3 linked regions of the Caenorhabditis elegans genome follow. The protein of the gene in region 3 interacts with the protein of the main gene of each other region in a pairwise test. Each region holds a gene or a part of one and is shown on either strand. Other genes may lie near its edges. The genes, in order: ZC455.1, dyf-3 and T07D4.2.

What was found.
Region 1: the proteins of T07D4.2 (region 3) and ZC455.1 interact in a two-hybrid assay, tested with the Caenorhabditis elegans proteins (one large-scale study listed by BioGRID).
Region 2: the proteins of T07D4.2 (region 3) and dyf-3 interact in a two-hybrid assay, tested with the Caenorhabditis elegans proteins (one large-scale study listed by BioGRID).

What each region holds. Positions count from the first base shown.
Region 1 is NC_003283.11:12,771,562-12,775,315, forward strand, and holds the start of ZC455.1 (LIM domain protein), read left to right. Parts: upstream 1-1,960; coding exon 1,961-2,019; intron 2,020-2,246; exon of another isoform or gene 2,247-2,248; coding exon 2,249-2,362; intron 2,363-2,435; exon of another isoform or gene 2,436-2,567; intron 2,568-3,754.
Region 2 is NC_003282.8:3,397,419-3,401,172, reverse strand, and holds the start of dyf-3 (Clusterin-associated protein 1 homolog), read left to right. Parts: upstream 1-2,049; coding exon 2,050-2,071; intron 2,072-2,271; coding exon 2,272-2,383; intron 2,384-2,474; coding exon 2,475-2,733; intron 2,734-2,789; coding exon 2,790-2,990; intron 2,991-3,435; coding exon 3,436-3,606; intron 3,607-3,652; coding exon 3,653-3,754. Other genes in the region: pdhb-1 (Pyruvate dehydrogenase E1 component subunit beta, mitochondrial), read right to left, coding at 434-564, 1,100-1,285, 1,416-1,485.
Region 3 is NC_003280.10:8,871,959-8,875,712, forward strand, and holds the start of T07D4.2 (UPF0046 protein T07D4.2), read right to left. Parts: upstream 1,985-3,754; 5' UTR 1,983-1,984; coding exon 1,942-1,982; intron 1,876-1,941; coding exon 1,848-1,875; intron 1,441-1,847; coding exon 1,350-1,440; intron 1,114-1,349; coding exon 989-1,113; intron 1-988.

The sequences.
Region 1 (3,754 bases), on a different chromosome or scaffold from region 3:
GAAAGCTGTGACGAGCAGTCAAGAGCCATGACATGCTGCGTCTCGCTCATTTCTACACAGTATTATCTTTGACGCCTTTACTCTACAGTACCTATATCCTGTCTGTGGTATGTTCAACATCTGTGTTGGTTTTTGAATACACGAGTAGTTGAAGTCGCGCGTTTTTGTGAAAAATAGTGGGAGAAATGTGTGAGACGCCGAGAGCTCTAGAGATGAAAAGTAAGGAGAACTTTACCACAATGATAACCAGAGAAACCGCGCAATTTCTCACTTAACTATCGATTACCTATTTTTTCATTTTTATTATCATTTAGTCACTCTAAAATTCTTGGAAAATTAGATTTTTGTTCCTCACTTTTATGGTAAAAAGGGATTTTGTTTTAAAACTCTTTTAATTCATATAATCCAATTTGACCAAATTTTCAACGCTCCATTTCAAAAAAATTCAAACTTTCAGTCAGTTTTGGAAAAGTACCAAGATTTTGAAAAATTGGACTTCTTTAGCAATTTTGAGAATCGCTGCTGGTTTGAGACTCTATAATGATCGATTAATTTAAAATTTTTGGTTGAGTTCCAAAATGATAGTTACCGTGAGAAATTTCCACTTTTTGACTGTAAATTTAAAAAAATTCAAAAGTTTTGTAATGTTTAGTAGTTAGATATTCACCACTTTTAATTTGAACACTATCATTTAGAAACTGTTGAGAAAATGTTTTTTTTAATTAGGGTATGGTCATAATTACAAAAACAGATCATTATATACTCAACCTTGTGACTCACTTTCTTTGGTACTTGAGTGTTGTTTACAACTTCAGTGAGACCAAAAACGAATCGTTTAGGGATAATGGGAAGATCATATAAGATGCATTAGCGACTGAGATATTTTGGAAATATTTCGCAAAAGTTTCTGTAGAATTAAAAGTTTACTAAAATAATGAAAATGGTTTTAACTGTGTAATTTTGAGCGTTCTTCCCAATCTAATTTTTACCTTTTTTTGACTTTATCACGTTTCTCAAAACAGTGGTATCTTCTTTCTTGGCCAATTTTCAATTTAACTCTGTGAATCTATCCAATATAACTTTTTCAACAGTTTAAAGAATTTATATATTTTAACACTGCCTGGTTTTCAAAGTTTATACTTAATATGTGTTAAACTGTGGCGATCAATAATTTTTGCTTTGATAATAAATTTTCTGCATGTTTCTTTTTGAAATATCTTCATATTTTAAACTATCTAAATTTAGGGATGCAGTTTTGATTATTGGCATTGGGAAAAGTTATTCAGGACAACTCCAGTCCTAGTGGAAATGTTTCTGAAGTAAAATCCTCACAAATGGCAGTTCATTAAAATGTTAAATATTCCGGCTTAGAATATGATCTGAAATTTCATTCAATAAAATTTGCCCTTTTCCCTCTGCTAAACATGCTCATTTTGTTCTGCCAACACATGAAAACGAGAGAATCACACTATTTACCCGACAGATTACCTTTCATGCTGGCCTTTCTCTCCGGTGCAAATCTGTGGCTAACTCTGACGCGGTTTTGTGTCCGTGCTCATAAACATGCCATGGACAAATGCTTGTTTCATTTATGGTTTTTGTGTTACTGTTTCTGCTGATTTTGATTTTGAACAATCATCTGCGACTCTTGCTCTTTTGCTCTGCCTTCTGTGCTCATGGCTCTTGATCTAATACCTCTAAGTTTTTTTGTTTCCGCGCGGAAAGGAGTCTCAAGTGCTCCAACCCAAGCTCTTTCACGTATTGATAATACATCATTCTCTCTCGTCCACTTCCAGTCATGCTTTCTCTTTTTCTTCTTTTTCTATTCTAGAATATTTTCTGTATTTATTGTCTCTAGACTCTAGTCAAAATAGGTCACAACAAACACAAAAGTACAAGAAGTTGAAGTACAAATACAAGAAATAAGTAGAAGAAGTGACAAGAAAACATCTAATCCACAATGTCATGTTCCCTGTTTGTGGCAGAAGTTCGTGGCTCAAGGAGATGCTCCGTTTGTAGGTAAGAAGATTAAGAAACTAATTGTACTAACACTAGAAGACAGAATACAATAAAGCATTTCAATAAGATTTGTAAACTTATATGTAGATTCGGAGGTTTTTTAGAAAGTAATATTAAATTCTAAATTGAAAATATTAAACAAATTCTCAAAAGCTCCATGTTACGAATTTTTGAATTTGAAAAAAAAACAATCGAATTATAGTAAGAGAATCACTTGAAAATATTTCAGATGCGATATATCTGCTCACGAGCCAGCGGCCATCTACGTGGCACCGGAACGAATATTTTCAAATCTCCCACCAATCGCCACGTCATTCAGCAACAATAATAGTAGTTTTAGCAGGTATGTTCAAGCAATGTATAGCCGTTAATTGAAAATGATAATCTTGTCTTTTTATCTCTATTTACCTGTCTCGTTTGCTCGAGAACTTTCTCCTATTTAATAATAAAGATCGAGAAATGGATATTTCGCAAAATCGAGAGACGCCGGAAATGAGAGAACGTTTGATTTGCCTTGGTTTGACGTGATATCCGATCCAATTGTGATACGGATTGCGCAGTCTAGTGCTCTTGCCAGATTCTCCACACATTATGACTTTATCATTTCCGCTTTTGTGTCCTCTATCAAGCATGACGTGAAGCAATTTGATTGCGGTTATGAGTAGAGCTTTTGAATTTTATTTTTTGTTCATTTTTTTCAAAGAAAGTTAAAAATCAAAAGAGTATTTTAAAATACATATACCTGGGTAACATTTTTTTTATAAAATTAATCGTTTTTAGAAAATTTGTATCTACAATAGTGTCAATTTTGGTCGTTCAGAAAATTTGATAAATCTTCTTTTTCGATGGATTTCCAAGCACTGCGAATTCTGAAAATTGATATAAAAACCGACTTAGAAACATTTGAACGAACACAAAATAACACAAGAAACCAAAAATTTAGTACGTTATTTTGTTTGAAATTTAGGATAAGCGCAATTTAATTTTATTTTCTTAGTTTTTTTTAAAGAAAAATATCAATAGTTTCGGGAATTTTCTTCAAAAAATTGTTGGATGTGGAAATTTGCCGAGACAAACTTAGTAATGAATAGAATAAGAATATGTAAGTTAAATATTTTTCGTTTTTTCCCAGAGAATTTTGGAAACTTATCAAATGAAACTTAGAAATCTGTAGAAAATATAGAAAACAAACAAAAAAAATTATTTGCAATTTCGACTGAAAATTCAGTAACCTGATTTGAAGAGCTTCAAAAGTTTACAGCACTATTCAAAAATAGCGTAAGCTGACATTTACTTTTATTTCTGTTTTAAGACAAAATCTCTGAGTTTCAAGTTTTTTTTCAAATTCCTCTTTGCATGGATATTATGTAGTTACTTATGTCAAGATTTTGACACATTTTCCATTCACTTCTAACATAAAATGCGCATCAAAAACCAGTACCTATTCCTTACAAGGAGACTTTTTTTCAAAAATAATATTGTTCTGTAGTTAGAAACGCAGAGAAATGCCTTTCCGAGACGAGAAGATCGTTCATTCTCTGTGTGGAAAGCTTTGTGTCAAGCATCCAGTTTTTTGTGAACTTTCTTCTATTCATTTGCTCCTCAGCGGCTTGCCTTTGCTCATTGCTTGTTCGGCTTCTTGTTGATTACTGTTATTTTTTTGTTTTCTTCTACTCGTATTCCTACCTTATATTCAACTCCTGTTGAAAGGGATTGTAGAAGAAACAGTTCAGAT
Region 2 (3,754 bases), on a different chromosome or scaffold from region 3:
AGTGATAAGAATTCTTATCAGTTGATGATTTTTACAAATTTTTTCTTATCAAAATGGCGTGAGACCATGTGAAAAACATGATTTTTCAGCATAAATTCAACGAAAATGGCTGAAAAAATGAAATTTTCAGTGAAAAGTCGAGAAAAATCGGATTTTAAAGCTAAAATCAGCTCTGTTGAGGTAAAATTTGTGTAGAAATTTCAGAAAAACCCTGATTTTCAGTCAAAAATCTAGAAAAATCGCATTTTTTGTATCAGAAATTGACTTTTTCCTGAAAAATCAGTGTAAACCGAGGAATTTCGTTCTAAAAATAGCAGAAAGCGTGATTTCTCACGAATTAGTCAAAAATTTGGTGAAAATCTTCAATTTTTCGGCTATTTTTTCGCTGAAAATCGCAATTTCCAGAAAACGTGGCACATTGCCAAGACCGTACCCTTCCGGCGGACATATAATATGTTTTTGCGGCTGAATTAATAATCTGATCGATGGCTTGCATGGAAAAATTGAATGTCATGAACTCGCAAATTGGACGGAGCCCGGCGAAGGCAGCACCGACGGCGATTCCTGAAAAAAATGTGATTTTTTTGGAGGAATTTTCAGTTTTTTCTGAAAAAATTTTGCTAAAAATTGAATAAATCGAGAAAAATGCGAAAATTCGAGCTTTTTAGACAATTTTTGCTGAAAAATTGAATTTGCGCGGTCTTAGAGCTTTTCTGCAAATAACATTGGGAAAAATCTGATTTTTATATAAAAAATGTGATTTTTCAGCTTAATTTTCGACAAAATTTTGATAAAACCGGAATTTTCTGCGAAAAATATCAAAACTCCGTAATTTCCGAGCTTTTTGCAGTGAATATTGAAATTTTCAATAAAAAATGCCGAAAATTAATTGTTTTTAGGAAAATTTCCGAAATTTGTTCGAAAAATCCAATTTTTAGTGTAAAAACTGAACTTTTGAGAGAAAAGATCCAAAATTAAAGTAAATTTGGACACTTTCTTTTCGAAAAAATGGTGCTGTTTTTGGGGATTTATTAGTGATTTTGACGTTCCGAGTCAACATTTCTCGATTTTTCTCGATTTCCAGCGTGATTTCCCGTACCAGCGAATCCCATTTCAGTAATTGGAGTGTCGACGACTCGCTTATCACCGTGCTTCTTCCACAATCCCTTGGAAATCTTGTAAGCTCCGTCGTACTGAGCAACTTCTTCTCCCATCAGGAAAACTCGGTCGTCACGTTTGATTTCCTCGTCCATAGCCTGATTTAGGGCGTCACGGACGGTCATTGCTGAAAAAATTGGCGATTTTTATGCTTTTTTAGGTTAAAATTCGTTTTTTCCGTTCAATTCTTCATTTTTAGCCGGTAATCAGCGATTTTTTCGTTTTTTTTCCATTCATTTTTTGCAATTTCTACTCACTGGAAGCCGCTCTGGTCGAGGTGCCAGCGAGACGAGCCACGAACAGGTTTCCACACTTTCTCAGAGCCATTTCGACCGGGGATTACCTGAAAAACCGGAAATTAATTGAAATTTTGAGGCTTTTGCCGGAAATTTTGAGAAAAATAGAGAAAAACTAGGATTTTTTAAAAAATTTAGGTATTTTGATTCAAAATTCTCACATTTTCATTAGTTTTTCTGCTGAGCATATTGTTTTAATGCTAAAAACTCAAAATTTAGACCAAAACCCTTCCAAATAGAATTTTACTGGTTTCTAGGGTTTTTCACTACGATTTTTCACATTTTCACCACTAAAACAGGCGGAAATCGATAATTTAAACCATATTTCCCCCGATTTTAATAAAAAATCAATGAAAGATGCGCAAAAAAGCAAACAAAACTCGGAGAAAATGCGCGCGGCGCTCCTCTCGAAAAATGTGTGCAATATGGCGTCGCGGTGTTTGCGTACAAAACGCCGGTTGAGCTGCAGAAGCTCGTCGACCGTAGTCTTTGGGGTGTTTGCAGGGAGTTTCTATGGGAACGGAGGAAATATTGAATGGGGGAATAGGCAGGCAATTGTTGAGAAGAGAAGTTTCAATTGAATTCTGCACGAAAAATGTCGTATCGTGAGCTGAGAAGTAAGTTTTTAAGGCTTTTTTAATTTTAAATTTGAACTTTGAGATTTTCATATGGAAAAAATAAGTGTTGCATTAAAATCTAGGTGAGAAATGTTTCTAAACCATAAAACGCAAAAAAAAGACCCAAAATACACTTAAAATTGAATTTTACAAAATCATGGCCGAGTTCGGATTCTAGTCCCAAATTTCGCCAACTTCAGACCTGTGTGAGATGACGCGAAGCCTCCGATACCCTCGCTTGATGTCAATTGAGAATTTCCGGACCCCAAATTTTCAGCTGGTGGCTGAATTGCTGGAATGGATCGTGAAAAAGTTAGTTTCCCAGTGAAAAAAATCGTTGGCCGAAAAATATAGAAACTTTGGCCACTAACTTCCAAGCCTACTCTAAGCCCAAAAATTCCAGATTTGAGCCCGAATCCAACCTTGACGCACACGAAGTCCAAACAGAAGCTGATCGGGTCGCTTTCATCAAGAACGCGGTACTCCTGATGCTCCAAAATTCGAGAATCAAGATGAATCCAAAAAAGTTGTACCAGGCTGATGGTCATGCGGTGCAGGAACTCCTACCGGCCATGAAGATCCTCTACCAGGCCAAGGCAGAGGACCCGAACACTGATAACTCGCCAAAATGGACCCAAGTCAAGAATAAGCTCTCGTCGAAGGTGGGTCTCACAGGCCACCAGCCTGAAAAAGCCTGAAAAAACTGTCGAAAGTTCAGATGCAGGAGGTCCGAATCACTCGTCAGCTATCATCACAACTCCCGGAAACAGGTGCCCTGCTCAGTGAGCTGCTGTCCCGGCAGGAGTTCATATCTCAGCAACACGAGAGAGCCGCGTCACGGGCGGTACCACTTGCTGAGGCCGAGAAGGTGCTGCAGGCAACAGTGCAGAACATCGCTCAGGAGACTGAGCAGCTATCGGTAAGCTTGACGGGTCACGGAGCTCCTGGTGGCGTAGGTTTGAGCTCTGGCGTCTTAGAGTTTGAGAGATTGGCCTGGCTCGATCCTGATTGTGAAGCGGACAGTAAAAAGCTTGGACTTCTTCTAATGGCGTGGGCTTGGTCAAAGAGTGACTTGAACTTTGATTCAGACTTTGAAGCTTCATTACCTGAACTCTAGTGGTATATGCAGGGCTTCAAGCCACTAGACCGGGCCTGTGCATCTTCTCCAGAAGCTCAGAGACCCCTAGCCTCGAGGAGTCCGCTGAGGATCTTGGAGCTGAAGGAATAGACTGAATTAGCCTAACTGGCTTGAAGCAACACCCACTCCACTCGAACCCACGTGATTGTTCTTAAAGCCCGGAGGGTCTGAGTCACTTACAATTAGGTTAGGTGCAGGCTCCCCAGCTAACCTCTCAAATTTTCAGAACAAGCTGAACAACGTGGCCAGCGATGAGGCAGAGCTCGACGAGAAGATAGAGCGAAAGAAGCGAGAGTACGAGCAGTTGCAAAAAAGATTCGCAAAGCTACAGTCCTTCCGACCTCAGTATATGGACGAGTACGAGCGGTTTGAGGAGCGACTGAAGAAACTTTATGAGGTAAGACACCGGATACCGAGCTGCCCTGTGAAGCCTAAGCTTCCAGGTCTACGTGCTGAACTTCCGCAACCTGTCCTATCTGCGAAAAGTTCATGATGACTTGGCGAGGTCCGAGCGGCAACGGCAGGAGGAGCTGGAGAAGGCGATG
Region 3 (3,754 bases):
GTGAACAATTGATAAGAAAGAAACAAATGAAGAAATAGAGCCGAAAAGATTGAATGGAGAAGTAAGATTCAAAAGATTTATGGCGAGTATCTGAAGTGTGTCAAAAACATTGACTGCACTCAAATGGTTTTCGATCTAACGATGAGGTCACGAGGTGACAGGAAATGGGATGGGAGGCCAAAAGTTGCAAACGAGACATCCGATATATGTATGTGCTGGTCACTTTTTGTTCCTTATCTTTTTGAAGGATACATCAAACTAAATGCAGAAGGATATTCAGTTACCCGTTCTTTTTCTGTTAATAGTTAGTTCTCTTTTCTTATTTTTTAAATATATGTATACTTGGGAAAGCAGTGGTTTTCGGCTGAAACTAGATTGGAAAGATTGGACGAATATGAAACTAACTGCCGGTCGCCTGGACAAGTTACCATAATACGAATGCTCTGCGAGTTTTTGAAATGTTTCAAAATACTGAAGGTTTGAGAGAAAGTCTGAAAGAATGGGAGCCGCGTTTTCTCATAATTTTTCACATTCAGAAAACTGTGAATAACCTCGAGCAACAATGGAAATCGAGCAAAATGTTTTCTTCAAAGGAAGAAAAATAAAAAATTACTGAGAAAATTTCGTAGTCAAAAAAATCCCCGAAAAGCAACTAAAAATTACGAAAAAAAAAGGTCGGTAACTCGGTAAAAATGAAACTGATAGGCTGGCACATCTCAGGGAAAGGTGAGAAAATGTTCGTCAGTGGATCATCTGATGAATAGTGAATCAAAGACGACCATCATCGGCTCTCAGATATCTTTTCTTTCTTTTTTTCGTTTAAATCAAAAAAGTAGAGACTCCAACGTCAGTTGGTATGCCGACTCAATATGAGATAGATTGTTTCTTCTTTTCATCAGATTGGTATCATGCTCGAACGCATTTATCATTTTATCTTTCATTTTGTTTTTCCAATTGTTGATGGGAGCTAACAACATAGAAAACCTACCGGATTTGACAGCTTCCGTCGGGTTTTTTTGTCCATTGGAATGCCAGATGCAATTGAACCGCGGCGACTTGGCGAAGCATTTCCGAGTTCAAAACTGTCGACGATTATTGAGCCGGAACTTCTTCCTGATAAAGATAGTTATGACAACTTAGAAATAGACGGAAGTATTCTTTTTTTTCTGAGAATCAATCTGAATTGTTCTCTGGTTTTTTTTATAAAGTTAATAACTTATTTTAAAAGAAGAACATTGAAGCTGCCATCGTGGTATTCACACGTTATTCAACCTTTACTACACATTTTGCTGTTTATTCTCATTTTTTACGAGAATCGGGAGAGAGGCAAAAAGAAATTATGAACTCACTTCTATCTCTGTTGAATCCAATCAATTCCTGATCTTCTATCATCGGCTGCAAATATGATGCAGCCCGGTTTCGCGAATGGAACATCATTTTCTGAAATAAATATATTATGTTAAAATATGAATGTTTTGAAGTGGAAGTATCATATAAATAGAGCAAATTATTATTTGTAGCTTCGAGGTTCGAGGACTACTACCAAAAATGTTAAGGAACTGAGACATAAATCTTTTACAAATACAGTTTTTAAACGGAATGGTGATACACTTTATCTATCAACTTCTGTTTGAGAATATAGCTCCATAAAATCAGGTTGTAGTGAAGAAAAAATCAGGACAAGTGACCAAAGCACGGGAATGGTTCTCAAAGGTACCCGCCAATGAAACCTTCCATCTTCTTCTTCCCTCCAGCATTTCCATCTTATCCATCTTAACCCCCTCCCCTTCTTCCTCTTTTTTCCATTTGATCAGAGTTCTATCCTTCTTCAATACCAATTGGCTCACCTCATCTTGTGGTACAGGAGCGGAGCTTCTGAAAACACAAAGATTGAAACATAAAACAAACAATGAGTGCAGCTACAAAAAATCATTGACGAACCTTCGATTGAGTGACACTTTGAGCAATGCAGGACTCAGCATTCCTGCAAAAATCTCGATGATTTTTTGGGTCGACAAGCAAGAAGAAACGACAACTTTTTGAGAAGTGACAAAGTGAAGTGAAGGATGACACGAAAGTTCGGGAATGTTCGGAATGAGATAAGATGTGTCTGGATCATGGAATTAGGTACTTAAACACGGACAAAGCAATTCAGCATTGAGTGCAGAATTTTCTTGAGCAAATGAGTAGTTTAATGAGATCAACTCTCATTTAAAGATGTGATTAAAAAGATCAAGGGTTTTTGTTGCAAAGAAGTGAGACATAGGATTCGTGACGTAGTTGAATATAGCTGTTGGCAATGACATAATTGGTAAAGTTTATACTAACAGAGCAAATAACATTTATCAAGATATTTAAAATACAGTAGACCGTGTTTTCTCAATAGAAACGCCACTCATACCTTGCACAAGTTTGGACCAGCTCTTGCTAATGTCGTATTGTTTTTCAAATCTTTATTGCGGTACAATGTATCTCGAGAGACGGCAAGGGTTGAGTGCCACCAGGTCACAAGCTGATAAGTGTGCAACTGAGAAAAAGTACAACATATGCCAAACGTATCACATAAATCACATAGAAATTATCTACTCACATGTTCTATTATGAGAAAATTAATGCAGTGGAATAGGAAAATATAAGTAAACTCTAAACTGTAGAAATAAAGTTTCTGAACACTTGGAAAAGGTTAAAAATTGGAGCCTAGTTTTTATTGAGATTTCATCCAAACTGTAGCGATTCAGAATATATTTTTGTATTGCCCTAGTATAAGTAAAGACTAATTACAAAAACTACTATAAGTATTTACAAATAGATACTGTTACGAAGGTCCAGTAGCCAATAATCTACCTCTAAACTCATTCAGAAGTTCTAATTGTTTTATTTTTAGTCATTCAATTGATCTTTCCATCATTATCTTATTAACTATTTCCATTTCTATTTCAAGTTATATGTAGTGATATGCGAATTATAAGTGAACAAATTCAAGCTAAAATTCTGAAAAAATATAATGCGAAACTAACGTAATACTAGTATCATAGAAATAAGAAAGCAAAGCTGAAAACATTGCAAAGAGTAAAGTGACTGGTTCTTCTTCTGCTTCTGTTTTTTGAACAGCTCATCAGGTGTTGATTTACTCACCACCAGTAGCAACCACTTTGTGCACACAATGGCTCCACCTTCATACCTTCCTCCCCCACCTCATCGTTCTCAGTCTCACCACAAAGACTTGTCATAACTCATCAATAAACTTTTTTAACACCCCACAACGGGTCACAATAAGGGATCAAAGTTGAGCCGAAGAGTCGACTGAAAGAGAAGAGTCTGGTGGAAAGAGATAATAATGATGAGTGGTGCACAAAAAACAGGGAAGATCTGATGAAGAAGGTCGATGTATTACGAGTGATGGATTAGGATTTGATGAGGGCGGATCGAGTTGTACTCTCAATTAATTTGTCGACATCAATCAATTTGAAATCTTGAACTTGATTGAATTGGTGGAGCTGGGAGATATTATTGAAGGGTACTTATGGTAAAAATTCAAAGATCCTTGACTAGTTTGTAGGTCACAAGATGCAATAGTACACAGGAACCGAGTTGTTTGGATGTGTTCTTGACAAAACTAGTGAACTTTATATTTAGGATTTAATGAAATAATATATTTAAAGTGCGTCAAAGCCAGAAATATTTGGAAAGCTGGTAAAGCTGAGCCAATTATGAATTTCAGATAAAAGGGATAGCATTTAGGGGAAACTTCATG